Linked DNA regions of Notamacropus eugenii. The protein of the gene in region 3 purifies or fractionates together with the protein of the main gene of each other region. This does not show direct contact. Links are inferred from orthologs where the notes say so. Each region holds a gene or a part of one and is shown on either strand. Other genes may lie near its edges. The genes, in order: KDR, INPPL1, SHC1 and AP2A2.

The links.
Region 1: the proteins of SHC1 (region 3) and KDR purify together in Homo sapiens (affinity purification with western blotting; 3 studies listed by BioGRID and IntAct, with this or other methods). This does not show direct contact. The link is inferred for Notamacropus eugenii from reciprocal best matches to the Homo sapiens genes SHC1 and KDR.
Region 2: the proteins of SHC1 (region 3) and INPPL1 purify together in Homo sapiens (affinity purification with western blotting; 4 studies listed by BioGRID and IntAct, with this or other methods). This does not show direct contact. The link is inferred for Notamacropus eugenii from reciprocal best matches to the Homo sapiens genes SHC1 and INPPL1.
Region 4: the proteins of SHC1 (region 3) and AP2A2 purify together in Homo sapiens (affinity purification with mass spectrometry; 4 studies listed by BioGRID and IntAct, with this or other methods). This does not show direct contact. The link is inferred for Notamacropus eugenii from reciprocal best matches to the Homo sapiens genes SHC1 and AP2A2.

What each region holds. Positions count from the first base shown.
Region 1 is NC_092877.1:106,551,862-106,559,823, forward strand, and holds the start of KDR (vascular endothelial growth factor receptor 2), read right to left. Parts: upstream 3,008-7,962; 5' UTR 2,590-3,007; coding exon 2,526-2,589; intron 1-2,525. UniProt on the Homo sapiens protein: Tyrosine-protein kinase that acts as a cell-surface receptor for VEGFA, VEGFC and VEGFD. Plays an essential role in the regulation of angiogenesis, vascular development, vascular permeability, and embryonic hematopoiesis.
Region 2 is NC_092876.1:96,908,797-96,916,782, forward strand, and holds the start of INPPL1 (phosphatidylinositol 3,4,5-trisphosphate 5-phosphatase 2), read left to right. Parts: upstream 1-4,976; 5' UTR 4,977-5,107; coding exon 5,108-5,310; intron 5,311-7,986. UniProt on the Homo sapiens protein: Phosphatidylinositol (PtdIns) phosphatase that specifically hydrolyzes the 5-phosphate of phosphatidylinositol-3,4,5-trisphosphate (PtdIns(3,4,5)P3) to produce PtdIns(3,4)P2, thereby negatively regulating the PI3K (phosphoinositide 3-kinase) pathways.
Region 3 is NC_092873.1:379,060,609-379,067,853, forward strand, and holds the start of SHC1 (SHC-transforming protein 1), read right to left. Parts: upstream 3,005-7,245; 5' UTR 2,693-3,004; coding exon 2,204-2,692; intron 1,656-2,203; coding exon 1,585-1,655; intron 1,047-1,584; coding exon 983-1,046; intron 819-982; coding exon 699-818; intron 446-698; coding exon 392-445; intron 216-391; coding exon 164-215; intron 1-163. Other genes in the region: CKS1B (cyclin-dependent kinases regulatory subunit 1), read left to right, coding at 7,224-7,245. UniProt on the Homo sapiens protein: Signaling adapter that couples activated growth factor receptors to signaling pathways. Participates in a signaling cascade initiated by activated KIT and KITLG/SCF.
Region 4 is NC_092873.1:27,299,250-27,306,066, forward strand, and holds the start of AP2A2 (AP-2 complex subunit alpha-2), read right to left. Parts: upstream 3,004-6,817; 5' UTR 2,855-3,003; coding exon 2,788-2,854; intron 1-2,787. UniProt on the Homo sapiens protein: Component of the adaptor protein complex 2 (AP-2). Adaptor protein complexes function in protein transport via transport vesicles in different membrane traffic pathways.

The DNA.
Region 1 (7,962 bases), on a different chromosome or scaffold from region 3:
ATGAAAAAAAAATCCATAAAACATTTTTTAGAAAAACCTCATTAGGTTGAGAAACAAAAATTGGCCTTTTGAAATGAGTACTTTGATATGAAAAGCAATCCATTCTATAGGTGCACATTTTGGAGCAAGGTAATGAAAGTGGGGAGGGGGGGAGGAGGGAAAGGGCATCAAAAAAAAAGAAAAAAGAAAGAAAGAAAGAAAGAAAGAAAGAAAGAAAGAAAGGAAGAAAGAAAGAAAGAAAGAAAGAAAGGAAGAAAGAAAGAAAGAAAAACACCAAAGATAAACTCAGTTGATCAAAGTTATTCCATATCATTGCAAACTACTGCCCATGTAGAAATCACCTAGGCAGTGCTGGAAAATAAAAAGAGATAAATACAACTCAAAAGTAATTAATCCAAGAAAAAAACAGCAGTTGAGTCTAGGTTATCTTTCTCATTCGACAACTTCATTGCTACCAAATACAATATAGAGATTTCGCTTATTAACATAATAATTTAATTAATGTAAATTCTTGTCTCTGTTACAATAGGCAGTCATTTCGGAGATCATTGGTTATATATTTACATTTTCAAGACAAATTCTAGAATAAGAAATGCTCGTATCATTACTCAAAGCTGCTTCTATTTGCAAAGCTTATAAGCAATGTTAATTAATTAATCCTTCTGTTACCCTTCCCTGCTCCAACTCAGAAGGAAAGACAATAGTGCTTCTGTGTGAAGAAATTGAAGGCAACAATTATGAACCAATGCTACTATTGGAATCAAATCCTCCCCAAAAGCTCCCTCCCTACTGTTTGGAGGGCAAGGTGGCTCCCATCACTGAGAAGGGCCCCTTCGTGAAGAGCTAAGTTTTTTCCTCCGGTTTTAAAGAGATTCACTTCTTTCTGGAATCCAAACACCCCATACATTTTCTGGACCCTAGACCTGGAAGCTAAATATAATGGGTTGGGGGGAGTGAGGAGTGAGGGTGCCTTAGCAACACACAGAGCCATTTGACCTAGTTCTCAGGCTTGAAGAGCCCAATAATTACAAGGTAAATGCAATCAATGTAGACAGACAATCTGGATAATTAAGGGAGAGGAATCTTTTCTTTGAAAAATAAAAAAAATACTTCCCCCCCCCCCCCAAACTCCCCAGTTGCAGGAATTATCTAGATAATTGCTTCAGCTGTCTGGATCCCTTTGCCTCAATGTAAACACAGAAGTACCTTTTTACTTTCTAGAAATCGATAAAGTGTGGCTGCAGGGAAAACAACATTCCCAGCGTGTGTGTCTGTGAGAGCCCCAAAGGAGGTTAAAGCCTCGAGCTTCTATGTAATCTTAATCTTGCGGAAAATGCGGTTTAGGAGCCAAGAAGGGGCAACTGGCATGGAAGGTGCCTATTCCTGTGGGGCCGATTTTCGGGTTCATACTTCAAACAAAGGGATCTAAGCCTTGGAGAGGCGGCGCTTTGACAAAGCGATAAATGCTTTGCAAGTGCAAAGTCCGCATAGAAGGGGAGAGTAGCTGGAGATGCCCGTGCCCAAGGAGGCTGCCCGAGGTTCTGCGTTGCCCAGAAGTTCCCGCAGTCTCCCCGCTCCTCCAGCAAAGGACCAGGGCTCCTTCTCGCAGCAAAGACCCCACGGCAGCCAGGAGAAAAGATCCTGCTTCCTCAAACGTCCCGGGGCGTGAGGGGGTGGGGTTGCGAGGCAGGCTGGGACTCCTCAAATAGATTTCTGTCCCGCTTTCCGAGGCCCAATGGCTCTTCTGGAAAGTTTCCCGCAACTGTTAGTGACTATGCCTGCAGTCCAGAACCTGAGTGTTGAGACGTACCTATCCCTCGCACACCACCCCCCACCCTCCGACCCTACCTGTCTTTGGTCTTAGGCGTCTCTTAAGTACCTGACTGCAGCAGTGGACTGGGAGTCAGATAAGCATCCCAGATCCGCTACTTCCTTCCTAGCTGTGCTTCCCAGGGCAAATGACTTCCCTGTTCTGGGCCTCAGTTTCCTTACTTATAAAATACAGGGTTTGGTTGGAGTAGATTGGAGACAGAGTGGCATCATTATAATTTGTAATCTGGAAGACCTGGGTTAGAATTACTGTTCTGACATTAGCTAGCACTGTGACCATAGCTTAGCCAGGTAATCTCTCTGAGCCTTTCTGTTTGTAAAATGAGTAGCACTTACCTCCTCACATGACTGTTAGGAGACTCAAATGAGAAGATATATATATAGATAGATATATAGTACTTTGAAAACTTCGAAGCGCTAAATAAAGGCCAGGTATTATTGTTAGTTGACGAGCCCCAAGGCCCCTTCCAGCTCTGGGCTTGTTTGCCAGGCTGTGCGTCCCCCTGCCACCTCTTAATCCTTTCCGGGCGCCAGGTTTTGACCAGATGAAACCTTAGCTTCTCGATTCTGCGACAGCAAAAGGCAAGATTGGTTTTGACTTGGTTTTCTCTCGCCTTCTTAAGAGGCCCCCATTCGCTGGCCTAGCCCCCGGCTTTTCCCTCCAGACTGACTCCCGCGTGCCCAGGGTTCCTTACCTGAAACCAGCAGGCTTTTCCCAATGAGCCACAAGAGGACCAGAAGCATTCGGGCGCTTTCCATTCTTTAGCTCTGGCAGGACGCAGGCTCCAGCATCCAGATGCTCCAGCGCCGGCTCCTGTCCTGGGGGCTTTCTTTCCCGGTTACTGGCTCGATGGGAGCCACTCCCCCGCCTCCAGTACCAGGAGCTGCCAGTCAGGGCGGGAGGGAGGGCGAAGGCGCCGGGTGCAGATGCCTCCGGCTTGTGCCCGGGCTGGTGCCCCTCACTGGCGCCAGAGGAAAGCACTGCTCACTTAGAGTGAAGACTCCTTGGCCCCCCAGAGAACTTGATCTGACTCAGGGAAGGATTCTGGGTTCGCGAAGGAGTACGAGTGATGGAAGAAGTAGAGAGAGGGAATGGACCGGCCTGACCCAGCTTTGCGTTCCTGGGGGCCTGCCCGGGAATCTGTGCTGGGTCAGCCCCTCCACCAACTCCTCTTGTGAGCACTTGGGGCGGAGCTGTCCTTTACAGTTGGCCAGACCCGCCCCGTCCCGCCCATTCCCACGCCTTGTTCCTCTACCTAGCCCAGGCTAAGATTTAACTGGACCTAATGGAGACCGGTCCCAGATAACTCCGTGCTTTCGGATAGGCCCAATGCAGAGTACATTTTCCAGTCTCTGATCCCTGCTTTGGCCTCCAAAAGGTGTCCCCGTTGCACTAACCAACAGATGAAGCAGGGGCATAGGGGAAAGTGCCCTGACTTAAGAGTTGGAGAGTCTGGCTATTTACCTGTGTGACTCCTAGCAAAGCCCTTCTCCTCTTGGTTTCAAAGCTAAAATGAGGATGATGGACTAGCTAATCTAAAATTCCCTCAGGTTTTAAATGTTTTCATTATTTTTTCTTAATGTATAAGGCATTGGATCTGGAGTCCCTGGGGATTCCTTTGGCTGCCTCTCCCTCTTGGAGACACTGAGGTGATAGGCACCGGGTGAGATGGTCTGAGTGGTTTCCATAAGTTGTGAATTAACACCTAGAATCCCTTGGCAATCTTCCCTATGTGAGTCCTAACTACTGTTCCTATGAGGTTAGGGAAGCCAAGAGAAATCTGGAGAAGGATAGTCTCTGCCTAGACTGGGAGGGTAAATTCATTCCAAGAGAGACATTTAAATACAGTAAGGGAGGACTTCCAAACTCATACAGGCACAGGAGGCATCCTAGCAAAGGAGCATCTCTGTGACTGGGGCTAGAGAGGGGAGGATGCCCACCTAGCTCAACCATAACTAAGATTGTGGCTGCAACTCAAATCAAGTTCCCATTATATGAGAGCCTTCATCCTACAATAATGAGCAGGGGGATCCTGCCTTGGATGAAGGCACCTCAGTTCTTAGAAATGCCCATTTCTGGGATGCCACCCCCTCTGCCAGGCATCGTTAGAAACTTGAAGTTTCTATAGAACCAACTATGCCCAAAATGCTTTCCTAGCATCTCCAGTATTTGCGTGGTTCAGGGTTCTGGTCTTCTCTGAATCCATCTCACCTACTTGCTGTCCACTTTGCGACTGAACCCAGATTTGGAAATAGTGATTTGATTCAGTCTGTGAGCCTCCTATCTTTCCTACCTTTCTGGGGCACAAGGGTGTTTTAGGTGGGAGGGGCAGAAAAGGATCTTTGAACACATTTCTTTTTGTTCCAGTTCCCTTCTTGCTGTCCTTGATTTTTATCCAGTTTCCTTCATAACTCAGGAATCACATCGAGCTTACGCTGAGCTCAGTTACAGAATCTGGCAAATTCCCAAGTTCCTTGCCTCCTTGGAAGATGTAGGCGTTTTATTTTTTTTTTCATCAGCGAGAGTGCCTACAAGATACTGGGGAAGCATACAGAAACTTCATCATACTATAAGTAGAACAATACAAATCCTAACACTTTAAAGAATTGCAATTAACCTCATGATTTAGATCCTATCCCTCCCCCCCAAGACTCTTCATCCCATCTTTGCCTGAATTAATCAGACAGTGGCATTGTAAGAAATGAGGTAAAGAAAGGGGGAAGAGGTCTTCTTACCTGATTATTTCCTGATATTTATTCAACCCTCCATTTGGCTGGCCCGATGCCTGAGGCACCTCTTTTTAAAAATGAATGAATCATTTTTATTTTTAAAAAGTTTTCCTTAAAGATAAAACTATTACCTTGCCCCATCCCAACACACACACACACACACACACACACACACACACACACACACCTACCCTAAATAAAATTTATGAAATTAAAACCGATAGATGATGAGTCAGATGAAGGAAGAACTAGGTGGACATGGCCCTGGGAGATGCTTTCCCTATCTCCTAAATAATTCTCACCTCCTGGTCCTAGTTATTCTCTCCCTTTCCACCACATGCCAATCAAAGACTGATAGAATTTGAAAACTTAAAGAAACCTTTGGGGTGGTTTAGGTCAGTGGTGACATTTGAAAACGAATAGTACATACATGTGAGAAATATTCTGCGCTCGTTCTGATGGTCTGTATGCTCTTATAGGGACACAGAGACTTCTTGCAATAATTCCTTGGTCCCCAAGGGGCCACGGTTCACTATCTGGGGAACACTAGTCTAGGCTAACCATTCCTCTTCCACTTTAGGGATGAATAAACAGGCTGGGAGAGATTCGCTAAATAATTTGCCCAAAGTCACACAGCAAGTTATGACAAAACTGAGTAGATATAGGTCTACTAACTTCCAGGCCAGGACCCCAGAAGTTCACACCATGCTGTTGCTCTCCACCATTTTTGTCCAGTCAAAGAAGTCAGCTCCTTTGCATATAAACCAGAAACTTCAGTCTCATGAAAATAGCCATTTTGAAAAAAGATGAAATAATGACTCCAATGATAGCAAGGCCAGAAATGCCAGGGATCACACTGAAGTTGTTCTGCCATACCCAGTGTCCCATATCACTTTAAAATGCCCAGTTTTCACCACTTTGAAAAAGTCTGAAAAAAAATGTTATCTTGTCAAACTTTGATTTTTCTACTTTTCTGTCCTTATTTAATGCACTGTTGTAATAGAGCGTAATAACAATGGCACATATACTTCAAATGGTTAACCATTGACCTCAAGTGACACTTGCTGAAAATATGAATTGATCATGATGGAGATGGTTCATTTCTACAATGCATCCATTCCTCCATGCTACTGCACATGCAGTCTCACCTTTTGTTATGTGAAAGAGGGCTTATTGGAGCAGAAAGGCATTGGATCCAAATGGAGGATAAGTGATTAAAATATGTTTTGTATAAATTACATGTAACATATGTTATATATGTTTCATAAATTTCATATAAACTATAAACAAATTTTGAGAATGGAAGGAGATGTTTTCCACAACTCTGGTTAGGGGGCAAATTCTTAACCAGAAAATAGACATGATCTTAAAAAACTAATAGACCATTTTGATTATATAAAATTGAGAACCCTTTACATAATAAATCAATGTAGCTAGAATAAGAAGAGATGCTGTTGACTAGGGGAAACCCTTGTAGAAATTCTTAAAGGTCTGATATATGATACGTAGAGAACCAATGGAAATATACTGTAAAAAGAGGCATTTCCTAATAGGTGAGTAGACAAAGGATATGAACAGGCAACTTTCTTTTTTAAAAATAAATTATTATTACAAGCATTTATTATCTCTCCTTCCAATAAAAGCAAAAAATTATTATAACAAATAGGCAGAGTTCAGCAAAATGCATTCTCACATTGGTCACACCCAAAAATGTATGTCTCATTCTACATTTTAAGTGTATGACCTCTCTCTCAAAAGGCAGGTAGCTTATTTCAGTTTTAGTCCTCTGGACTTCATCAGAGTTCTCAAATCTTTAGGAATTATTTTTTAAAAACATTGTTGTCATTGTATGAGTTGTTCTCTTGGTTCTGCTAACTTCATTCTGCATCAGTTCATAGAGATCTTCCAAGATGCTTCTGAAATTGCCCATTTTGTCATTTCTTACGGCACAAAGGTAGTCTATTACATTCACGTACATAACTTGTGTACCAGGTGGATATCTCTTTAGTTTCCAGTTCTTTGCTACTACATTAAAAGGTGCTACAATATTTTTATATGCATTGGTCCTTTTCTTCTTCCTTCGATCTTAGGTACAGTGAACAAGCAATTTTGAAAAGAAGAAATGCAAGCTATCAGTACATAGAAAGATGTTCCAAATCGCTAGTAATAAGGGAAATTCAAATGGAAGCAATGCTAAGGGTCAAGCTACACCTATCAGCTTAGCAAAGATAACTGATGAAAGTAGTAAATGCTGGAATTGTCAACTGGTTTAACATTGTGGAAAACAATTTGGAACTATGCTAGAAAAGTTATTAAACTGTATGTACCCTTTGACACAGTGAGACCACTACTGGCTACTCCTTTACAAAGGAGGTAAAAGTTCAATAGTTATTTTTTTATAGCAGCACTTTTTGTTGTTCCAAAAAAAAATGGAAATAAAATGGATGCCCATCATTAGAAGAACGGTTGAACAAATTGTAAATGGAATGGAATGTTATTTCATCAAGAAATAATGAATATAAAGAATTTAGACTAACTTGGAAAATCTTCCATTAACTAATATAGAGTAAAATAGGCAGCATCAAGAGAACAACTCAGACAATAACCTTAACATTGAAGAACTGAATGTTTGGAAACAGCATTGACTAAGCACTCAGTATAGACAAGGCATTGGTCTAAGCATAGGGAATACTAACTGAAAAGCAAGTCAGTTCCTGCTTTCAAGAAACTCACTCCTGTTCTAATGGGGAAGACAACACATAGAAGATATTTCAGCTACAAATCAGATGGAAAGCGCCTAGCTAAATGATGCAGTGGATAGAGTGCCAGACCCGGAGTCAGAAAGACCTGAGTTCGAATCCAGCCTCAGACACTTACTAAATATATGACCCGGGGCAAGTCACTTAACCCTGTTTGCCTCCATTTTCTCTTCTGTAAAATGAGCTGGAGAAGGAAATGGCAAACCAATATAGCATCTTTGCCAAGAAAATCCCAGATAGTCACGAAGAGTCGGACACTTCTGAAACAAGCCAACAAAGACATAGTCCTTAGAGTATATTGGACCCTGATTACTCTCCCTCATATTCAGTTCTGTTTTCATCATCATTATTTTGGATTCGACCAACAAGTATTTATTGCATGCCTCGTTTATAGCATATAGCTTATAGCTTAGCACATAGTTTATAGTTCAGCATATATTTATAATTTATATACTTAGGATACAAAGACAAAAATGTAACAGTCCCTGGCCTCCAGGAACTTAAATTCTATTGTGGAAAGTGATATATTCACAACCAGAAACTAAATATTCAGGCTTACTTACTTAAAAATCAGATGCCATCCAAGCTTTCTAGGATCACTGACATGAAGCATTATTCTAATATGATTTCTGTTAGTCTATTT
Region 2 (7,986 bases), on a different chromosome or scaffold from region 3:
GCTGCACCTTTAGCACTCTACCCTAGCCTGTTTTGCCTGAAGTTCCACCACTGAAAGGCTTCTTTTAAATAAGGCCTTGATGATCCCTTGGCAACTTTGCAATTACCCTTGGGAGGTGGGGTATATTTAATGATTCCCAGCTCTGCTCATCAACACCACCAGGTTATAAGGAAGAATAAAGAAGTGGGGCTGAGATTTTGATTTCTAAGTGCCCCCTCCCCCACCAAATGAGCTACTAGGCAGTGGGGGAGGGGAGGAAGGCAGTGACTGGGGCAAACCAAAGCTACAGTTTATGTGAGTGGTATGAGGGGAAAGAAAAATGGATTTGGGGATAGTTCCCTCAGATTTTACATCATTAAGAAGAAAGGATTGCAATAGATGGCTTCTAAGTTCCCTTCCAATTCGAAATTGATGATCCCTTGGGAAAGATGGGAGCAGAGAAGTGGAGATCAGATGTATAGAGTCTTTAGGAGTTCCCCAGTCCTTAGCACCTGCCTGAACTAGATCAAAATGTAATTAGGAAATATTTAACAAAATAAAAATGTAATGAAACATTACATTTTAAAACTTGACATGTGCCCTGCAGGGGTCCTTCTGTACACATTAGGGGTCCACTTTTATTTCAGTTTGACACCATCTCCCTATTCCACCTCAGTTTAAACCCCATAACAATGTTCTCCCTCTTCACATGTTCCTCTTCCTTTGGAGATGATTAAAGCAATGAGTTCAACAAATCTGGAATGAGCAAAAGAGTTTCTGGGACCTAGAAGTAAAGAGGGGCTTTCCAGAGTCAACATTCTGATGGTAGGATTTCAGAGCTGAATAGAACTTCTTTTGTTATTGGCCAGCACTTGGGATTTCATTGGTTCTGGAACTCAGGTTTCTCTACAATTATAATTTGTAGGGGGGAATAAGTTACTTGTTCACTTGGGTTCCATAGCAAGTAGGGACTTTATACCAACTGTCAACTCTGAAAAATAAAACAAAACCAAAGAGTTCACAGAGGTTATAAGCAAAAAGTTTTCTTTATACTGTTGGAGAAAGAAAAGTAGACAGGGCTGCCAGTGTCTAGAACTGAGGAGACCCAAGGCAGCAAAGCCACGTCTTGATACATATAAGTGTGACAAGACAAAGAACCAAACAATGAGGGGTCACCTTATCAGTGAGGGATAGCAGCAGCAACGAGGCACGTTTATGCCAGGAAAAAAGTATATTCATAGCAAGGCTTCATGACTCGAACACGGTTCCTGCAGGTGCTTTGTGAGAGCTCATTGATCACCTAGGGCTGATTTGAGCCATTTTTACGATTTAGCTGCATCAGAGTTCATCTAGAACGTAAGGGCAAAGTATTGTTGTTATGTTCAGGGTTCAGCTTGCTTGTTGGGCTTTGGATCTGGGAAACATGGTATCTCCTAAGAGTAAAAGGAGAGGGGTGGTCTTGGCATGGGGATCCTGACATTTCCCTCTTTCTGCAAAAGGGAAGGGAGTCTAAAAGAAACTCTCCCACTCTGGCCAAGACAGGAGAGGCCAACTGGGCCAGGAGGAGATGGTGAGTTGAGGGACAGCTGAGGGCTTAGGTTGGTGAGCTTGGGAGTTAAGGTGGCAAATCCATCAATTTATTAGCCCCTCCCCTTTAGCAATGATGGAGGAAGGATAAAGAATGGCATTTCTATCCCAGGAGGTTAGTTTCTTGAGGAACCTATCAGGGAAGTCCATACTAGGTGTCTTTGAGAAACTCCCAATAGGGGAAAGTGCATAAGCAGATAAAGCAATAGGTCTTGTTCAGCCAATGTCTATTACCAGCAGAGAAAAGGAGGGAGAAGCCAAGAACACAGAGGGAGAAAATGCCAACACATGCTTACATCAAGGCCTTGGTGGTTGGACATGTAAGAAAAGGGAACAGGAAAAAATTGGGACTCAGCCCTTGTCTGGAATCTTGGGACAGCTGTCTTATCTGCGTGTCTGTACCAGAGGAGCCTTGAGGTCCCTGGACAGTTCTGCCATCCACTCAAGAGCAGGGGTCTTTCTTCAGATGATCCAGGAGTCCACATGCACAAATCTGGCAGCTGTAGGAGTAGTCAGAAGGACCTGGTAGGGGCCCTTAGATTGAGGGGGTGGAGTGAACAGGTGTAATTTCCTGAGTTCAGAAAATGAGGTGTAGTATTTCCCAGATGTCTGTAACATGGAAATAATGACTGATTGATCAGTAGAGGTCTAGTTTTCAGTAAGACATATGGGTTGCTTGAGTTGTACAATTGTTAGAAAACTCTTTGTATCAATCTTTGGGTCTGAGTTTCCGGTCAGCATAACCTAGGTCCTTGTTTAAGGGTCTTTAAATAGCAAGTAGAGTCCAATTACAGATCAAAGTCTTTAAAGGGTTTACAGTGTACTAGTCCCTCAGTGCCTGGTTCTTTGTCTAGATACTAAATGTATCAAGGTTTAGCTTCAATGCCTTGGGTCTCCTTCATTCTAGAGTAGAATAAAGAAATCTTTTGGCTTATAACCTCTGTGAGCTCTTTGGTTTTATTTTATTTTTTTTTCAGAGTTGACAGTTGGTATAAAGCTTTTGCTATAACTTCTGTGCGTCTTCTGTCAGAATTGACAGTTGGTGTAATAACTTGCGGCTCTCTGGTTTATTTTATTTTTCAGAGTTAACAGTTGCTGTACAACCTCTCTGCACTCTTTGGTATTTTCAGAGGTAACAGTTGGTGCATAACCTCTGTGGCTCTTTGGTAATTTATTTTCAGAGTTTAAGAGGTTATGTATGGCTATTTACCATATTAGAAATTAAAACATATTTTAAAATTGTTTACTAATTTAGTTAGAAGTCACATCCATTAGGTGTTAACACAAATAATATCTTAATGAAAAATGTTTTCCATATTTTTGCAAATGTCTTTTAAGTTCTGACTTAATAGGAGGCAGCTGGATTTTCATTTTGTAAGCGTGAAAAGAAAATTCGGTCTCAGGAAGACAATGTAGTTGGAAAAGGGAGGAGTATTTTAGTAGTAGCGTCTCAGTATTACGAAAATAGTTTTGACCTCAAGGACTCCCTGAAAAGTTCCCAGGGTTCTCTAGCCTTAGAAAAACATTGATTTAGTCCAATTCCATCACTTAACATATAAAGGAAACACAGCAACACTTAGGATTTGAACCTAGGAAACCAGGCTCCTGCTTTCCAGAGCATCTCCGGCTCCTAAACCGTCCTCCGGTTGAGAATCGATAGTCTGGGTCCTCATACCAACTTTAATGCCCAGTTTCCTAATTTCCAAGCGAAAAATCCTTTGAAAACAAAGTGGTTGTGGCAGAGGTAGGGTTGGGTAGCGAGTGAGAGGGTCGGTGGGAGACTGAAAGTTTAAAAGTAGGAAAAGATTTAATAAGTTATGCAGCTTTCTGTTCCCTCTAACCCTAGGGCACACAAAGGTGTGTCAGGAGATGGGGGGGCGGTGGCTCCACTACTCCCCGCTTTTATCCAGCGCTAGGAGACGTCCTGGGGGCCGGGCCAGGAAGTTACCACCCCATAGACTGGGCCCCGGGCGATACATTTTTGGCCCGGATCTGCCAGTGTCTTGGACCCAGAAAATAGACTTGAACGGATTGGGGGTGGAGGGTTGGGGACAAAGGAAGCGAAGATGGAGAGGACAGCATGGGAGCCATGGGGAGGGGTAAGGAAGGTAGGAGGGAGACGAGGGGCGATGGAGGGAGCTAGGGAAGGATGGGACGAGATTGGGAAAGATGGAAGGAGACGGGTGAGCCGAGCTGGGGAAGTGGGGAGGGATGGAGTAAGAAGGGGAGGGTGGAGGAAGTCCGAGAAAGCTTGATTTCCCGGGCTCTGGGCTGAATGTGGCAGGAGGCGGGAGGGAAGCAGGAGGCGGGCAGAGGCAAGGCAGAGGGGCGGGTCGGAAGGCTGCGGGTCCGGGACCTGGGCGGAGGAGGGCCGGCTGACGGGGCTGGGGGGTGGCTGACCATCTTAAGTCGGCTGGCATCCCTGGCCCGGCCCTACTACTTCCCGGGGGAAGAGGGTGTGTGAGTGTACTCCCAGGTGGGCGAAGCGCTCCTCGAGCCCAGGCAGGCCCTCCTGGGGAGAGCGGGCTTGGTTTTCAGAGCCTTCCCTTAACTGTGTCTGCGATCCTGGGGCCCCTTTCCCAGGCCCGGGAGAGGCCTCGGGGGCTCCGGGTGGTGGCGGAAGAGGACGGGGAAAGTGCGGGGGGAGGGGAGACTCCGGGGATCCCGAGAGGAAGCTGCGCTGGGCCTTCTCGGGAGGGTTGGGGTTCTCGGAGGGTGTTTGGGGGGCTCGGTACTGTATCCCTGGGGAGATCAGGGGCTGGAGGCTAGGATTCCCGTGTCTGGGTTAACGCTACGGGGTGTTTGGTGCTCGAGCGATTTTGGAGGGTCTTGGGGTGTTTCGGGGGCTCCGGGGTGTGTTGGGAAAGTCCATGAACAAAGTTAGGAGTTCCTCACAGAGTAGAGGTTCTTTTGGGGCATAAAATTGGGAGAGGATCGGGGGGGAAACCTCGGGGATGTGTTTGGGGGTGATCCTTGAGGGCTTTTGGAGAACTCCGATTGGTAATCGTGGGAACTGGGGTGTGTGAACCTCCGGGAATGTGTGTTTTAGGAGGTTCATTGGGCAGAATTTGGGGACCTGGGGGGTCTCTGCAGGGTTTTGGGGATCCCCGAGGGTGTCTTTTGGGGGTCTCTGAACAGTATTTGGGAGTCATGGGGCAGTGCTCCGTGGATCTTGGGGAGCTTTTCAGCATCTGAGATGCCGGGACTGCGAGTATATTTGGGGAGAGTCCCGGGGGTTCTCTGATCGAAGGAGGCGGGGACCCCCGCAGCCCCTCCCTCCCGTCCCATCCAGTCCCCTCCCCCTCGCGGCTCCTCGCTCCCCTCCCCCCTCGGCCTCTGAACAAACTTTTCTTTCTCCTCCAAGTTGCAGACTAACGCCGGGGAGAGAGGAAGGAGCGGAGCGGGAGCCTCCGGAGCCGCCGCCAGCCCCGACGCGGAGCCAGGAGCCCCGGCTCCCCTTCCTCCGCCCCAGGCCCGGGCCATGGCGCCTCCTCTCCGGCCCCGGTGACCGCCCTGCCCGGGCCGGCCGGCCGCGGGGCCCATGGCGTGCGGGGGCCCGAGCTCCGGGGGGCCCGGCGGGGGCGGGGGCGGCGGGGCGGGGCTGGGCAGCCCGGCCCCCGCCTGGTACCACCGCGACCTAAGCCGCGCCGCGGCCGAGGAGCTCCTGGCCCGGGCGGGCCGGGACGGCAGCTTCCTGGTGCGAGACAGCGAGAGCGTGCCCGGAGCCTTCGCCCTCTGCGTGCTGTGAGTCGGGATCAGCGCCCGGGAGGGTGGGGGAGCCCCGAGTGGGCGGCCTAGGTCTGGGGAAGCTGGGCAGGGGAGCGGGACCTCAGGGACTCGGAGCTGCGACGAGCACTGAGGGGAGGGTCTGCCAGTGTGTTGGCAGTCGAGGGCGTCTGAGGCATTCTGTGCCTTGGTCTGTAGGGGGGAGGGCAGCAGCACCTGGGCATGAAGAAGGCCAAGGGTGCGGGATGTATGGGATCCAGTGGCTGTGGAGTGTTTGCGTGCCCTGGAGGGGGTAGTCTTAGGACGTAATGAGACAGCTCCGAGATTCTCTGTGTTTCTGGGGTCGGGTGGGGGCTCAGAGCTGTGTAAAGAAAGGCAGGCAGGTAGGTGCAGAGTGGGATCCTTTGGAGTTCAGCGTGTGTTTATATGGAGACTCAGAAGGAGAATATATGTGTGTTTTACACACTGGGGGCTCGGAGGGTGCGAGTAACACAAGTATGATGGGTTGCAGGAGCAAGTTTGTGCCTGTTGGTTGGGCAGATAATGACATATGTTTGGTCCTGGTATCTGGAATGCCTCTAGGTCCATTAATTCTGGCGAGGTTAGTCATTTCATACTTTTCTGGGTTCACTGAGCGGGACCTGACCCCAGGGTAGCCCTCCCTTTCTTCTCTTACAAGGACCCAGCAGCTGCTTGGACACAATCCCAGCCCCCCAAGTTCCTGGTGAAGCCATACTCCCTTTGCCCTTCCTCCTCCTTCCTCTTCCCCCTGTGTGGAGTAAGACAGCACTGAATAGAATTTGGCTTATTTACAATAAGGAGAGAGTATTGTGAAAATGTAAAAGTCACAGAGATCTCAGAATTGGAGGGTATTTGAGAGTGTGTATTTGTATATGTGTACAGGGCTATATATATGATGAGGTGAATTAGCGTCTAAGGATGAGTTTCTATGTGTATACTTTCTATGAGTGAATGAGAGTGAGAATGTGTACTAGAGCGTGTGGAAGAACAGTTTATAGTCTTGAGCATGAATTTTCATATGCTTGCGTGCTTGTCTGTGAAGGAGATATTAGGGAGTCCACCAACACCTACAGATGTGAGTGGAGAGAATCAAGCAAAAAGTGGTCTTGGCTTTTGGAGAGAGGAGTGCCTTCATCTACCTCTTTTGTTGTCTCTGGCTCCCTTCTTTGTCCCATCTCCCCTGGGGCCTGTTATATTTAGAATGATGGTCAGGCTCTCAATCCCAGGCTTGGTGGGGCTCCTTGGTCTTTGGATTTAGGACTTTGGGTTTCTGGGCTGGGCTTTGGGTTAATGTGGGCACCATTCTCTAGATCTAACGCTGTCACCCTTGGGTTTAACTCTGAGCATGTCTGCCACAAAATCGTTTGGGGAATCTGAGGATGCTGGCTGAGTCCTTCCCCACTCCCTCCCCCCAGCCTCAGCTTTAATCTCTGAGGAGCCTCCATGGAGGCCTGAAAGGCCTGGTCTTTAGTTGTCTCATCTGCATTTCCCTTCATTCTCGTGCCTTGAATATTAGTCTTGAACTGGATGTTTTCCTTGGGTCCCTATTGTGAACTCTTATGTCTTCCCTATAAACTCTTATATTCTGTGTCTTTCCCCATCTTTTCCCTCTTCTATTGTCTGTTGCCTTCTGCCAATAAGGGTGAGATGGGACTCAGTGTGGGCAAGAGACCCTGGGACCTTACTGGACCAGCTGTCTAAATAGGAAGGATCCTGGGAAGAAAGTGCATTAAGTCTACCCTTTCCACCCCCTCCCCAATATTCACTGTTAGGGAGTAGGAATGGAGGGGTATATTCATTCCCCTCTTGAGGAGGTTCCCTCCCCTGTAAGGATCTCTGATTGTTGGGACTTAGGGGTTGACTGGTCAGCTGCTGATGGGGAGTGGGGGACAGCTGTGATTGGGGGTGAGTAGGACTAGACTTGTTGTCACCTAGGACCAAGGAACCAGAGGGGCCCTGAGACTGCCTCAGGGTAGCTCTGTCTGCATGGAGCCTTCAGTCTCCTTGTTTCTATCCTGGATGGAGCCTTAGATGTCTGGGATTATCTGCTCTGCCTGTGTCCTGAGCTGGGAAGTGTTGTGGGGAAAAAGTGGACCAGAAAAAAAAGTGGCCTAACGAATAGTTCTCTAACTTTTCTGACATAGACACCTTCAGCCTTGGTGTCGCAGAGAGGTCAGTTGACCGGGAATTCAGACACCTTAATGTGAGGCTCTCCACATGGCCTTGAACCAGTCCTGTAACCTCTCTGAGTCTTAATTTCCTCATCTGTAAAATGGGTATAATTGTACTAGATGCCCCCAAAAGGTTTTGGTGAGGAAAGCACTTTGAAACTCTGAAATCTATCTGTGTCATAGGTATGAGAACTGTTATGTTTGTAGTGACATGTGAGTGCCCTGACCCACTTTCATGCATACAGCCACCCCAACAGACATACATGGCCATAAGCGGACACAGACCCACAGACACAAACACATGCAGGCAGGATGGATTTGACCAGTCGTTCATGTACATCAGTGTACCCAGGCATATTGACACACACACACACACACACACACACACACACACACACACACACACACACACAGAAATACAGCCAGATGTCAGGTAAACAAAATTGTCAATGCCTTTCCCCCACAAATATACAAACCCTCAGGTGATTTCCAGGAGGGACTT
Region 3 (7,245 bases):
CAAGTGCGGGGCTAGGGATGTTCAGGCATGACCCATCCCAGCCATCCCAGGCTCCCTGGAAATAGCACCCACTGGGCAAGGGAAGCTTCAAGTGCCCTCAATGACCACAGAACTAGTAATTGGAGAAGGAACCCCTGACCCACCCTACCAGATTCCCACTTACCTCTCTGATTGACAGGATCTTTGGCAACATAGGCAACATACTCAGCAGTGTCCTAGGGGATCAGGTTCCGAGTCGGGGTAAGATCAGCCAGCATGGCTTTACATGTTCCCCACCAGCCCACAAAAACCTCTTTATTCCCCCCCCACCTCTACCCAATCATTCTGGGTCACCTCAATCCAGAGTCACTCCATTTTTCCCCAGCCACCATCTCTTTTTACCATAACTCACCGGATCCCCACCGGATGCAAATGAGATTGACTGCATGTGGTGATTGGCAATGATCTGAGAATTTGGGGTGGTGGGGTAGTGTTAGCAATTCCACTTTGACTCACATTCTTCACTCCTTAGTATTCTCTGTCCTACTAACTCCCTTATTTCTTTCTGTCCCATCCCCTGGTCCCTTCCACCAGGGGCCCTCTAACTATCTCCACCCAGATACCCAGTTCTTCCCTCACTTTCTCCCCTTGAGTTTCTCTGACTTCTCTTCACTGGCTAGACTGTTTCCCTCTCCCCAACCCCCCCAGGCACAACAAACCTGTTTACAGTCTGCAGCCATGAGATTGAGGCTGCTGGTAGAAACAGTCAGGGTGATAGGCATGCCAGCAAACTTTAGATTACTCCTCCCCAGTATGGAGCTGAGTGGGCGGCTACAGGGCTAATAAGAAAGGATCCACAGAAAATTTGGGGGTTAAAGGCTACAGGCCTACCCCTAAAGCCCCAATTTCTATATCCAGAAACCCATCTCCCCTCCATTGCTCCTGGCTTCCCCTCCGTCTCTCCTCCCATCTACTACTCTCCACAACAATGCTCCCCAGGTACCTTTCTCCTTCGTGCAGCCCCCTTGGCTCCTGGCACAGCCTCACACACCAGACTGATGGCTTCTCTGAGAAGACAAAGACTTGCTTAGAAGCAAAGATTTCCCTGGGCCCCAACATAGGTCTAAGGGAGGGGAAGCCAGGGACAGACTCCAGGGGCACTCTGAGCTCTTTGTAGTGGCTGATTGAATTAAGGGCCTTTAATATTTGATGATACTAAGGAGCTGCCTGCTGGTTGATTGGATTAGGGCCTCTGAGCCCAGTGATGGACCCAGTCACTTCCCCTTAACCTCAACCCTTCTAGTCACCAAATACTAATTTTCCCTGAAACCATGCTCCCACCCTTCAGGGTCTTTGTAATCTTATGGGCTGGCACACAGTAAGCCCAGCCAAAGTTCATTGACTCAAGTGCGTGCCTCCTCCATTCCAAGGCTGAAAAGGCAGAGGGGAACCTAGATCTTCCACTGGGCTCCCTTAAGTGCCCCATCCCTCAGTAATAATGCTCTTCCTGTGCTATCATGACCACAGAGCCCCAGGAGCTCACTAACTGCTATGAGCCCCAGCAACACTGACTGGCCCCCATGCCCCCAGACAGACACCACTTACCTGGTAACCTGGGTGCGAGTACTGAAATCCAAGGCCCGCATCGACTGGAGGACCTCCACACAACCCATGTACTGAGGGAGGGGGAGGGAGGGAAAAGTGGAGCATTTGACCTCTGCCAACTACTATCAGCACCACCCTCAACACACATGCACACAAAAGACCCCCCAGGATTTTCTCCTATATTAATTCCAGAATGTGAACGCCTACCCACTGACTATGCTTGGTATCTGAATGTAGAACACCCCTGGTCCCAGTGTAGAGGGAGAGAAGAAGAGGTTAGAGAAACAGTCTATGTAAAGTAATGGGGAAAGAGAAATCTTTAGGTGCTGGGAAAAGACCAGAATGATATGGAGGAAGAGAACAGGAAATAAGAATGTCTGCACAAGAATTAGGGGAAAAAAAGCAGGGGGGAAACAGAAAGGAATGGGAAATAGCAGCATTTGGGGCAGGGAACAGGACAGGTAGGAAGTAATACATGGAGGGACCTGAAGAGGGAATTTGGCACATAAAGAAAACATAAAATCCAGCAAAACAAGGGACTTACAAGGGTCTCAGGCAAAAGAAGACTACATGGGGATTGAGGGGAGGAATATTTGAGAATACGGACATACTCACTCACCCGAACAAGGTAGGAAACCCCAGGTCCCATGACCTTGTCGTTGGGATGTAACCAACCCCGAGTTGGCTTGTTGACAAAGCTCCCGTGACGAGTCCACTCCTCACCCCCCAGCTGGCCCCCTTCCACCCGAGTCCTCCGCCCGCCGCTCAGTTTGTTCATGTCCTGGAGAAGAGGTGAAGGGCCTGAGTCCGGCCCAGTGCCCCCTGCATTTCCTTCCCTATCCTCAGGTCCTTGTCCTGACTCTTCAGAGGGACCGAGCCGCCCCCCAGTTGGGTTGGCTAGCTTCAAATTGCTCATCCGAGGGAAAAAAGAGCAAAGGGTTGTAGGACTATCATCCACCAGCACTGGGGGCAAGATGGGTCCCAAGGAAGAGGCAGATGGTGAGGATAGCTCCCCAGGGGATAAGGATCCCAGAGTCCCCTCTTCCAATGAAGACAGAGATTCATTCCTAAGAGGGTTGTACTTGGGCTTGGGGGGCAGGAGATCCATGGCTAGAGGAGAAAGGAAACTGCTGTCCAGCCCGGCCCTCCCCCCAGCCAGGGTAAGGGGGCCGGGCTGGGGGCATTCCCAGACCCTTAGTCTGATCTGCTATATACAGGCAGATAGTCACAGAACCCTTGCAGAGAAGACCACCACTCCCCCAGCTCAGATCCAGACAAGCCCTAGCTCCAACCCCGCCTAGCATGAAGCCTCTTTTCTAGCTGTAGAAGAGAGAGCTGGACCAGGAACAGTTTGGCTCCTCCCCAGGGGAGGAGAGTTAGTAAGTGGAGGCCAATCAGGAGGACAGTGCTGACTCACAGGCACAGAAGGGGCAGAGCCCCCCACCTCTACCCCACCCAAGGCCTCAAATCCTAAGGGAGGGAATCTCTGTGGCCCTCCCATTTCCACATATCCACCCACCCCCCCTCTTCCCAACCAAGCATAATCAGGAATGGGGAAAAGGGAAGGGATGATGAGAAGAGAGAACAGATCTGAAAGTCTAATGCCTGACTGCGAAGGGGGAGGAGAAGACAGGAAGCCAGGGCAGTGGGGAAGGAAAGAGAGAAAGACAGGGAAAGGGGGCAATCCCTGACTTATTTCCCTTTCCCACCCCAGTTAAAAATTCTGGCAACCTTGCCGTGGGGAGAAGATCCCCAGGGAACCTCAAGGCCATTAGCTAAAACTGCCATAACAGCTGGAGATATAGTAGAAAGAAAATCTCTCTGTGCTGTCTGGGAAACAGGGAAGGAAAGAAAGATAGGAAGGGGTTGCTAAGCAAAGGGGCAAGATGAGCAGAGAGCCAAGAGAGACTGAAAGAGCCAGGGAGCAAGGCCAAACCAGTGCATTGGTAGAGCCAGCCCAACAAGGCCTCTGAAGGAAGCATGTGGGATCCTGGAGAGCTTGGGACTGTAAAGAAAGAAGGCAGGTGAGATGAGTCTCACCTTTTAAGCCTCTCCACATGACATAAGGGAAGTGAGCCAGCCACAAAGACAGTCCAGCCCCCACCTGTACTACCTAGGGCATTACTGGGGGAGTTCAGCTGTCAGTTTCCTCCCAAGATGATGTTTCAACCAAGAGAGCATCACTTGGAAGGTGGGCAAGGCTCTGTTCTCCCGAGTCCAAACGTTAGGACACATCACTACCCAACAATTCTCCTGTCCGTGGGGTTCCTCTCCCTTTGTATATGGGCACTTACCCATTCCATGAAGATCACAGGAAAGGAAAATCCATTACTGACCACAGGATCCTAATTATCCTAATCCTAGAGGTCTATGCTCTCTCTGATTCCAAAGCTAGGCTTCCAGACTCCTCCCCATAGCCACCAGGCACTGATAGTAAAGGCAGATTTAAAAGCAAAGAGGGTCAAAGGCAGCCCCTGGCATCCATGGGCAATGTCTTATACATATATATGGTAATCCAACTGCCACTTCTCTCCCAGTTATCCCTAAATCTCCCTTCTGAGGATGAGTGCCACTCTGAAAAAGGGCTCTACTCCAACCTTCACGCTTCCCCCATATTCTAATCATACAGAAAAGGAGAGTTTGGGGAGTCGGGTTTGAGTCTGGACACAGGAAACAGTCCAAAACTCATTTCCTCCACCCACAAGTTCCTGACTTCCTGCCAAACCAAATGGAAGAGAGGGCAGAAATTCCTACAAAGGCAGACAGCAAAAAAAGACTAGAGGAACTAAATTCAAAATTAAGCCTCAGGTACATTCCTAGCTAGGGAGAGGGGGAAAAGCTTTCTTTCACCTCCTAGGCAAATTGTACTAACAGAAGCAGTGGAAAGAATGGTGGATTTGAAGTCAGAATACCAGGGCTAAAATCCCACTTCTACTTGGCACCTGCAACTTTAGGCAACCTCTCCATGCCTCAGACCCCTCATCTATAAAATGAATGGAAGGGAAGAGGATTGGCTTGGATGGTCTCTAAGGTCTCCTCCTGCTGGGAATCTACGATCCCATAAATGGGGGAGGGGAGAGAAGAGAGAAGGGTTTGTTTCAACTCCTAACTGGGAGAAGAAATTTATCATCCCCATTTCCTCACTCCCCAGGGCTCACTCAGTTCACAGATCACAGAAAAAAAAGAAGACCCAAAAGATAATTACCCCGATATCCTACATACTTTGTGCCAAGACTCTTGTACTGTCTAGAGATACTCACTTTCTTATAGCTTTCACAGTAAGAGAGTAGTGAGCCATATATAACGGAATATTTGGAAAAGAATGTAGAAGAAACTCAGTTCCAGAGAACCAAAAACTAGATGACTTTCAGAGGTTTGGGGTGGGGGTGGGGAATATCTGCTTTCTCTGCCCAGGGGGAGGAGAGTACAGTGGCAGGGAGCAGCCGGAAATGGCAAAAGCCTCAGGAATGTTTCCTGGACTGAAGGTTAGGCAGACATAGAAAAGACGGGGAATACCTAAACAAGAAAACAGGAATGGGGGTTGGAGTAAAGTCTCTAGGGCCAGAGAGCAAAAAGCATCCCCCCACACCTCCCAATTGCAAAATACCCTACTCTTTTAGGGTAGGTAGGGAGAAGTTACCCATTTCACAACCCCATTCCACACACCAGGGAATCCATGGCCCAGCCCAGCTCCTGAGGTACAGGTACGACATGCAGCTGTTTCTGGGGTGGAGCCGGTCCTGGGAAGGGAAACTTAGGGAGTAGATCTGGGAACTCGTGAGGGATTTCCCATCCCTTCTCCCCTACCTCCAAGCCCAACCCACTTCAGGTCATCCCACACCCAAGAATAAAATTAAGGCCCAAAGGGGAGGGAAAGTACAGCCAATCTTCAATCCCTCAGATTTGAGTCAGGGTTAGGAATAATGAGGCAGTAGAAAGAGCCTTTGGCTTACAGTTGGCAAACTTAAGATGATTTCAGCCTCTAATACATAATACTAATGTGATCATGTCACTTAAACTCTCAGAGTTTCAGTTTCCTCATGTGTAAAATGCAAATGAGAAAATTTGCACTGCCTCTCTCAAAGGAATTTAAGGGGATACTGCTATATATCTCATTTATTTAAATTATTACCACAATATGGGGTGGGGGACAGGGACACAGGCACCAGGAACTGAGGAGAAAACCTAGGCTGGATGGAAGGACAGAGTGTGATTGAGAAAGGAAGCCAGGTTTCTGGGTTTGAAGCAGGGACCTTTCAGGTTACAAGGATCGCTTCAGATTTTAATGAGCACCTTAGAAGTATCTCTTGGGAGGTATGGTTTCAGAGAATTATAAAGGGAAAGGTCATCCAAAATATTTTCCAGCTTACTTTTCCAGGCTTAGTGTTTCTCTACTTCACACACTCTGTCTTATAGCCAAATTAATCTGCTTACTATTCTAGTCCACAGCATATCATCTTTCATCTCTGTACCTCTACACAGTACCTTTTGCATCCTTGTAATGCAACCACCTCTGATTCATAAAATGTCTAGGTTCATTTAAAGTTCCACTCAAATGCCACTATCTCCAGGAAGTTTATCCTGATTTCCCCCAGTTGCTAAAGGAAATTATTCTTATGGAAATTACTTTGTGCATAATTTATATTTAATTTTCTACCTGCATGTTGTCTCCTCTCATTAGGAGGCAAGCTCCTTGAAAGTAGGAATTGTTAGGTTTTTGTCTATGCATACGTAGACAAGCACTCTGTGGGACACACAGGGGAGCTTAATAAATTCTTACTGAATTAAATGGAAATGGGCCCCTACTGAATTAAATGGCCAGGGAGGAGAAAGAAATGAGGTATACAGAGGGGTCGTGACCTAATGAAGGGCGGAGTTCCCCAGAATTCTAGAAGGCACTTCGGGGTGGGGTACGGGTAGCCCGGGACTAGCCGTAAAGAATAGTTGGAGGGCCCCCTCTCGGGGTAGGGGCGTTCAGGGAGTGTTAAGATTAAAGAGGGCGTGGTTTCGGGGGGGAGGGATGAGGAAGGCAAAGTTTTCCAAAATAGGGGGCGGGAGGGGGAAACATTTAGGTCGGTGACAACTTTGAGGGGTTCGGGGAGCCCCTGAACTGGGGGCTGGACTTCCGGGGATGGGGTCCCAGAAGGCGGGACTTATGTATGGTTGGCCGGAAGTGGGATTCCAGTGGATTGGGGGGAAGAATATTAAATAAAGATGATAAAAATTTCATACTCACCAGGGCCGCATGGGGTCTCCGCTCCGCGCCGCGGGCCGGTCTCACTCCGGATCTGGCGGCCGCAGCTTCTTAGAGGAGACGCTCCAACTTTCTCCCCCCCCCCCAGGCCCAGCCTCCCCGAAGAAACTTTATTGCACTCACTTCCGGCCTGACTAACCTTTGACCCCTACGCATTACGTGTCTCCTCCTTTCTCCATTTCATTGCCCCGCCCCTCCCGTAGAAGTGCAGGGTGGGGCCCTCAAGTAATGATACCCAATAAGAGCTTGTGTATGGTCTCATGGGCGTATACGAAACATACTGTCTGGCCCTATGGACCAATAAGAACCCGAGGTGGGATAGAGTGAAAACTATAAAAGCCAATAAGCGTCTCAAAGGTGGGCTCTTTTTCCCGCCTCCGATAGAATGAGCCAATTAATTGAAGGAG
Region 4 (6,817 bases), about 350 Mb from region 3:
GACCAAAAAGATGGGGAGCCTGCCATCCCTGAAGCCTGAGATCAAAGGGGAACCTCATCTGGACCCCAACCTAATAATGGCTGCCCTTGGCAGGCTTCACGTGAGGCTGAAAGGTAAGAAAGGTAAGAAAACACCATCTTTCCTTGAAAAGCTCCTCCCCTCCCTGCCAGCCTGCCACTCTCTGCCAGAGGAACTCTCAAGTGCGGCCATTCACTCATTTCCCAAAGAGACATTAAGCACCCCAGAGTGACCAGTGGCCAAGCTTCCGTAAACTCGCAAAATAATCCAAGTGATCCTCCTTTTTAAAAAGCTGAGTCTCTAGCTTCACCCCAAACACCCAGAGTTCCAAGACCAATATGGGAAAATGAGTCAGGGTATTCCTGCCCCAGACACAAGGGGCAACAGGACCCTGCCAGCTTCAGAGCCGCTGCTCACCAGTCCAGGCGCCCTATTGCTTTGAAGGCATCAGCTCTGACAAAGCTTCCAAACTCTGAGAATCTGGCAAAAGAGGTCCGACAAAGCACTCTGAATGTTACTGGGCCATCTCAAGACTCACTGCCCACATCAGGCCCAAAATGTTTTCACCTGGACCTATTTGGGGAGCCTGGTGATCCTGGCTACTCTGATTAAGGGGCCTTTAGACTCCCAAAAACTTTGATTTCTAAGCCCATGTCTACACATGCCTGCCACAGAATGCTGACACAACCTCCTTATTGAGGGGTTCAACAGGAGAGGCTGCTTTGGTTTTCTTGTTGGAAAGGACCCTAAAGACAGCCCTCTGCACCCTAAAGAACGTGAGGACCCTCTCTCCAGCTCAGAGTGGAAATTGTCCAGTGCATGATGTTTCTTCCATTAGAAAGAACAAAACACACTGCACACACACTAAGCATTCAAATGCTTTTTCGTTCATTCATTCATTCATTCAAAAAAAAAAACCAACTGGTCTCTTTTTGGGGGGAAGAGAAGGTAGGTCCAATATCTGGTCATCTCCTAACTAAATGGATAGCTTGGACTGCAGAAATGTAAGGGAAGACAAAGAGGAAAGGGAAGGTCACAGGGCACTCAGCCCCACAAGGGGCACACAGACCCTCAGAGGGCACACAGGCGCACAGAGCTTGGGGGGGAGGCACTCAGACCCTCAGGTGCCACACAAGCCACACAGGGCATACAGAGCTTGGGGTGGGGAGGCACTCAGACCCTCAGGGGATACACAGGGCATACAGAGCTTGGGGGGGGCACTCAGACCCTCAGGGGATACACAGGGCACACAGACCATCTAGGCTAGACCTCAGGAAGAACAATGACAGGAATTCCTCATGTGGCAGGAATGGGGAGGGGGGGCACAGAGACTCCAAACTAGGGAACCTCCAGCCAAATGAGGCCAGAGCTTCCCTGAAGGAGGGCCACGGTACATGATCATTGACAAGGAACCAATCACCAGGCAGACCCAGTGAATACAGTCCTCCCTCTGTGTGCTGATGTGAGAAGGCCAGCTGGGTGCACTCAGCAGCCCCCAGGTGAGGGGGCACAGGGGATATGCCCCAGGCGCCCGCGGAAGCTCAGCCCTGGGGAGCTTACAACGCACAGGTGTAATTAGGGCTGCGGGAGGGAAGCTGGCCGGGCTTTGGAGGGGGCTGAGCCACAGAGACCCCCCAGCCTGGCATCTGGAGGGTGTGTCTCGGTTTTCAAGAATAAGGAAATGAGGTCTGCCCCTGATCCCCGAATCCTCCAAAGGCAGCGACGGCCCAGGGGGCGTGCCCGGGCCCTGGGCATCGCAGGAAGGCTCCGGGGTGCTGGACAATGGCCAGGACCTCCCTGGCCCGGGATCGGCGGCGGCCGGCTGCCTTGGGCCGGCCCGGGGACAGCTCCGCGGGTCAAGGCCAGCCCGGAGCTCGGCACCCCCCCATTGGGGAGCGGCTCCCCGTTCTTGGCCAAGGGCGGCCGGATGTCCAGGCAGGGACCCCCAACACAATCCCAGCCCGCAGGGGGGCTGGGTCCGAGGCTTCGGGGAGGTGGGAAACTGAGGCCTCCCTCCTAAGCAATTGAAATGAATGAGCCACACAGACCTGTCACTGCCCCCTCTCCGCGTCCGGAGGGCCCGGGGCCCCAGGAACCCCGGGCGGGGGGAGGGGGGCTGGCGGGAGGGGCGGGAGGCCGCGGCCGGCCCTGGATGCCCCCCCACTCCCCCCGGGGGGACGCCCGGGCCTGGCCCCGCCCGAGCTGGAGCACCGCGGGGAGGTGGGGAGCACCGCGGGGGGGAGGGCAGCACAGCGGGGGGGAGGGGAGCACAGCGGGGGGAGGGGAGCACCGCGGGGGGGGGGGGAGGGGAGCACAGCGGGGGGGAGGGGAGCACAGCGGGGGGGGGAGGGGAGCACCGCGGGGGGGAAGGGAGCACCGCGGGGGGAGGGCAGCACCGCGGGGGGGAGGGGAGCACAGCGGGGGGGGAGGGCAGCACCGCGGGGGGGAGGGGAGCACCGCGGGGGGAGGGCAGCACAGCGGGGGGGGGAGGGCAGCACAGCGGGGGGGGGGGGAGGGCAGCACAGCGGGGGGAGGGGAGCACAGCGGGGGGGGGAGGGCAGCACAGCGGGGGGGGAGGGGAGCACCGCGGGGGGGAGGGGAGCACCGCGGGGGGGAGGGGAGCACCGCGGGGGGGAGGGGAGCACCGCGGGGGGAGGGGAGCAGCGCCGGGCCGTCCCCAGGCCTTCCCAGTGGCCGCAGCTCGGGCGGGGGCCCGGGGGGGGGGGGGAACACGCAGTCCGGCTCCCTCCCCTTCCCCCCCGCACTCACAGTTGCGGATGTCCGAGATGAACACGGCCAGGCCCCGCATCCCGTCGCCCTTGGACACGGCCGGCATGATGGCGGCGGGGGCTCCGGCCCGGCTCCGGCTCCGGCCTGGGGTTCCCTCCGGGTCTCCGCCGCCTCTGCTTCAGTCTGTCTCTCCCCCGCAGGAGCTGGAGCAGCAGCAGCACGCGCGCCCCCGGTCACGCTCGCCCCGCCCAGACGTGCGCGTGTCCGCACGCACGCACACGGGCGCCAGCACGCCGTGCCCGCGCCCTTGGGAGCTCGCGAGCGCCCCCTCCAGGTCGGAGGAAGCAGCGTGGGGGCCCGACGGGCGGGGGAGCGGCGAGTCAGGGCGCATGCGCCGGCCTGCGCTGGTCTCAGGAGGCAGCCAGCCCTTAGAGCAGGGTGCGAGCTTGTCTTTGCAGGGAAGCGCGTGGGACTCGCTAAGCTTATTGTCAGCATCCTAGCCAGATGCAGGCTGCACTCAGCGGCCCCCAGGCTTCGGTGAATCTTCGGACAGACTCCCCTCCTTGGACTTCAAAGGCCTCTGGCCCGGTCCACCCTGGGCCACCCTTGGCCACCTTGGGCCACCTTGGGCCATTTTGGGCCACCCTTGGCCACCCTTGGCCACCTTGGGCCACCCTTGGGCCAGTGGGCAGGAGCTCAGGCCAAGGCACAGACCATGAAGGAAGGCTTCCTGTGTGTCAGGCACTGGGGACATAGCCAAGCCAGGCCCAGGTTCAGGCTCTGGCCCAGAGTCAGGTCTGGGGAGCACAGGTCCAACGCCCCGTAAGGGGCAGCAGCCCCTGGGGCAGAGAAGGGAGGGGGGCCTGCATTAATGGGACAGGCTCATTGCCTTCCACAATGGTGACCCAGCCAGAAACTCCTGCCCTCCAGCTAAGATGACTGGGGCACTGACAGCACAAGGGGTATAAATCCAAGGTGAGAGACACATAGCAGCTCCCCTCAAGGAGGTTCCTTTTTTTTTTTTTTTTAAGGCAGTCAGATTTGACTTGCCCAGGGTCACACAGTTAGGAGGCATCAAGGGTTTGAAGGCAGATTTGAACTCAGATCCTCCTGACTCTAGGGCCTATGCTCTAGCCACTGCACCAGCTAGCTGCCCCAAGGAGCTTGTCTTCCAAGGGGAGGAGGAGGGAGCCGGATGAAGGTGCCCAAGCTACAGAGAGGACTGGAGGAAGGAGGCTGCTGGGCAGGACCTTCCTCAAAATGGAGACTTGGGAAAATGTGGTCCATGGGGAGAGGGGCCAAGGCCTCCCAGGCTCTATGAGTCCTCTCTCAGCTCTCTTAGAGAAGTTTCAGTGGGCCTCTAACCTCTTACATCTCCAACTGAATGAGGGCATCATAGACCACTGGTACAGCCTTCAGGTCTTCTCTGTGGCCTACCACAGAGAACGGAAATCCCTGGCCCTGGCATTCTCCTCCCTCCATGATTTAGCTCCACCCATGCTTCCCAGCTTTAATCATGAAGACTTTAAGGTTGGCAAAGCATTTGCAAATATCTCAGTGGATCCTTCAAGAGAAGTGCTATAGATGCTCATGTTACAGATGAAGAAACTGAGGCAGGGAGGCAGAAGATAAGTGACCTACCCAGGGCCAGGTCCAGCATTCTATGCCCTGTGGTGCCCCTAGCCTGGAATGAGCTAACTTTGCTCTCTTTGACTTCAGTCAGGAAGCTGGGGTTCAGACCATCTGTCAGCCAATAAACATTTCTTAAACGCCTACTCCATAGCTAAACAGCAATGTCTCCCCCCAAGAGAGATTTCACACAGAGGTCCTGCCAACCCAATATGCATGTGTTCACTGCCCCCTCTGAGCCAAGCCCTGTGCCACAGGCTAGGAGAACCAAGACAGAATGAAAGTCCCAACTTGCAGGAACCTGACATTCTCCTAAAGGAAGAGGCTGGTGCCCATGATTGTAAATTGGCAGCAACTAGTAGGATGAGTCTAGTCAGGTCAACAAGCATTTAAGTGCCTACTATGTGCCAGGAGCTGTATATATAGACCACAAGGGATGCCAAGAAAGGCAGAATGGCCTCTGCTGTCAAGGGACTGTGAGCTAATCATGGAGAGACCACATGCAGAGTGAGGTACAAACCAGCTCTAAACTGGATGGATCTGAGACACTCAAGCAACGAGGAAAGCACCAACAGGCCAGTTCCAGCTGAAACTTGATGAGAGGAGCCAGGAGGCAAAGACCCAGGCAGGTGGCACAGGCAAGGCAAATACCTGTAGTCCGGAAATGGAGGGTCTTGTTTAAGAAACAGTGAGGAGGCCAGTGTCGCTGGCTAGCTTTGTGTGCTGAGCATGCTGCATGGCACATAGTAGGCACTTAATCAATGTTGATTGCCTATTTAATAACTGATAAGTACATGGATAAGGTTGTCAGAAGACTGGAAGCGGGGAAGGCGAGTTAGGGGAGGAAATACTTTCAAAGCCAAGTGGAGGGTTTTATTTTTACTCCTAGAGGTGATAGGGAGCCCCTGAAGCTTCCTCCACAGGATGGGTGACAAGAATCAGACAGTCAAGGATGGACCAGGAAGGGCCTCCTATGGACTGGAGCCATGAGCAAGGGAAGAGACGAGGGGACAGCCCTGCAAAGGCACAATGTCCTGCTGTTGTTCCAACTTCCTTTGGATAAGGACCAGTGACCTCACGGGGTGATGTCTTCCCTGCTCCTGAATTGGATGTAAGTGAGACAGGATGGTACAAAGTCCTGACAAGGCTCCAAGCACTCCATGGCGCCCCCCTCAGTCGCCTTCATGGCTGCGGAACCAATTGTTTTCATCTACCCATTCTGCTGGGAGAAGACTTCACCTGCTTGGAGGAGACACCCCCTAACTCACGGATGGGTTTGAGACCCCTCAGTTCCCTCAACCTGGTTTAGCCCATGTGCCCAGATGATTTTACCAGGTGTGACCACTACACACGCTCCAGCTTCTGGGAGCCACTGGTGGACACCAAAGGTAGATGAGCAGCCCTCACCCCAGAGGGGCTTGTCCTGCCTAAACACCCCATACGTACTGTGTACACACACACACACACACACACACACACACACACACACACACACACACACACACACACACACACACCTGGAAGCCACAGGTGACATTTGGGTGTCAGGGGGACACCAAAGGTGGATGAGCAGCCCTGAGAAGTGCCCAGTAGCCCTCATGCCACGGAGGCTGGTCCCCTCTGAACACCCCATACACCCCACAATGTCCTGTATGTTCAGTGATGACTGTGCCAATTTGGCTGAATGTCAGGTATGGGGAGGACTTGAGTGAAAAAAGCCTGGAAGGCCAGATTGGAATCAGACTGGCAAGGGCTTCCAAAGTCAAACAGGGGAGTTTGCATTTTTCTCTGAAGGCCATAGGGAGCCACAGATGATTCCTGAATCCAGGCTTTCAGGCACAGTGCTGAGTAGGGACTGGAGCTGGGAAAGGCTAGAGGCATGGGTGTCAGCTACCTGGCAAGGACACAAGTCCTTGAGTTCCTCTGCTGCTTTACCCAGCCTTCTCCTTGGGAAGGGCAGAGGCCTCCTCCTCTCAGGCTTCATCCCCTTCCTTTCCCTGGGCAGCTCCTCTGCAGGAGAAGTAAACTCTCTGAGGCCAGGGACCTGGTCAAACTGTTCCCTGACTATCCCAGGGCTTTTCCCAAGGTCACAGCATTGGAAAGTGTCTAAGGTCACATTTCAACTCAGGCCTTCCTGATTGTAGGACCATCTCCCTACCCACTGTACCACCCAGCTGCCTCAGGAATCTGAGGAATTGTCTTCAGGTTCCTCTGGCTGCTGCCCATCTGCCTTTCTTCCCTAGGCCTCAATTTCTACTCTGTAAATGAGGGTGTGGACAGAAGGCTGGACATGGAACTCGGCTCAGCTTCTGGAGTGCACAAAGTCTCTTCCTCTGTGCTGGGCCTGGTTCCTTCTCTGTAAGAGGAGGCTCAGTTTGAGTTCCCAGGGGTCCTTTCCACTCACTGAGTCAGCGCCTGGCCAGAAGCTGGTGGGCTGCCT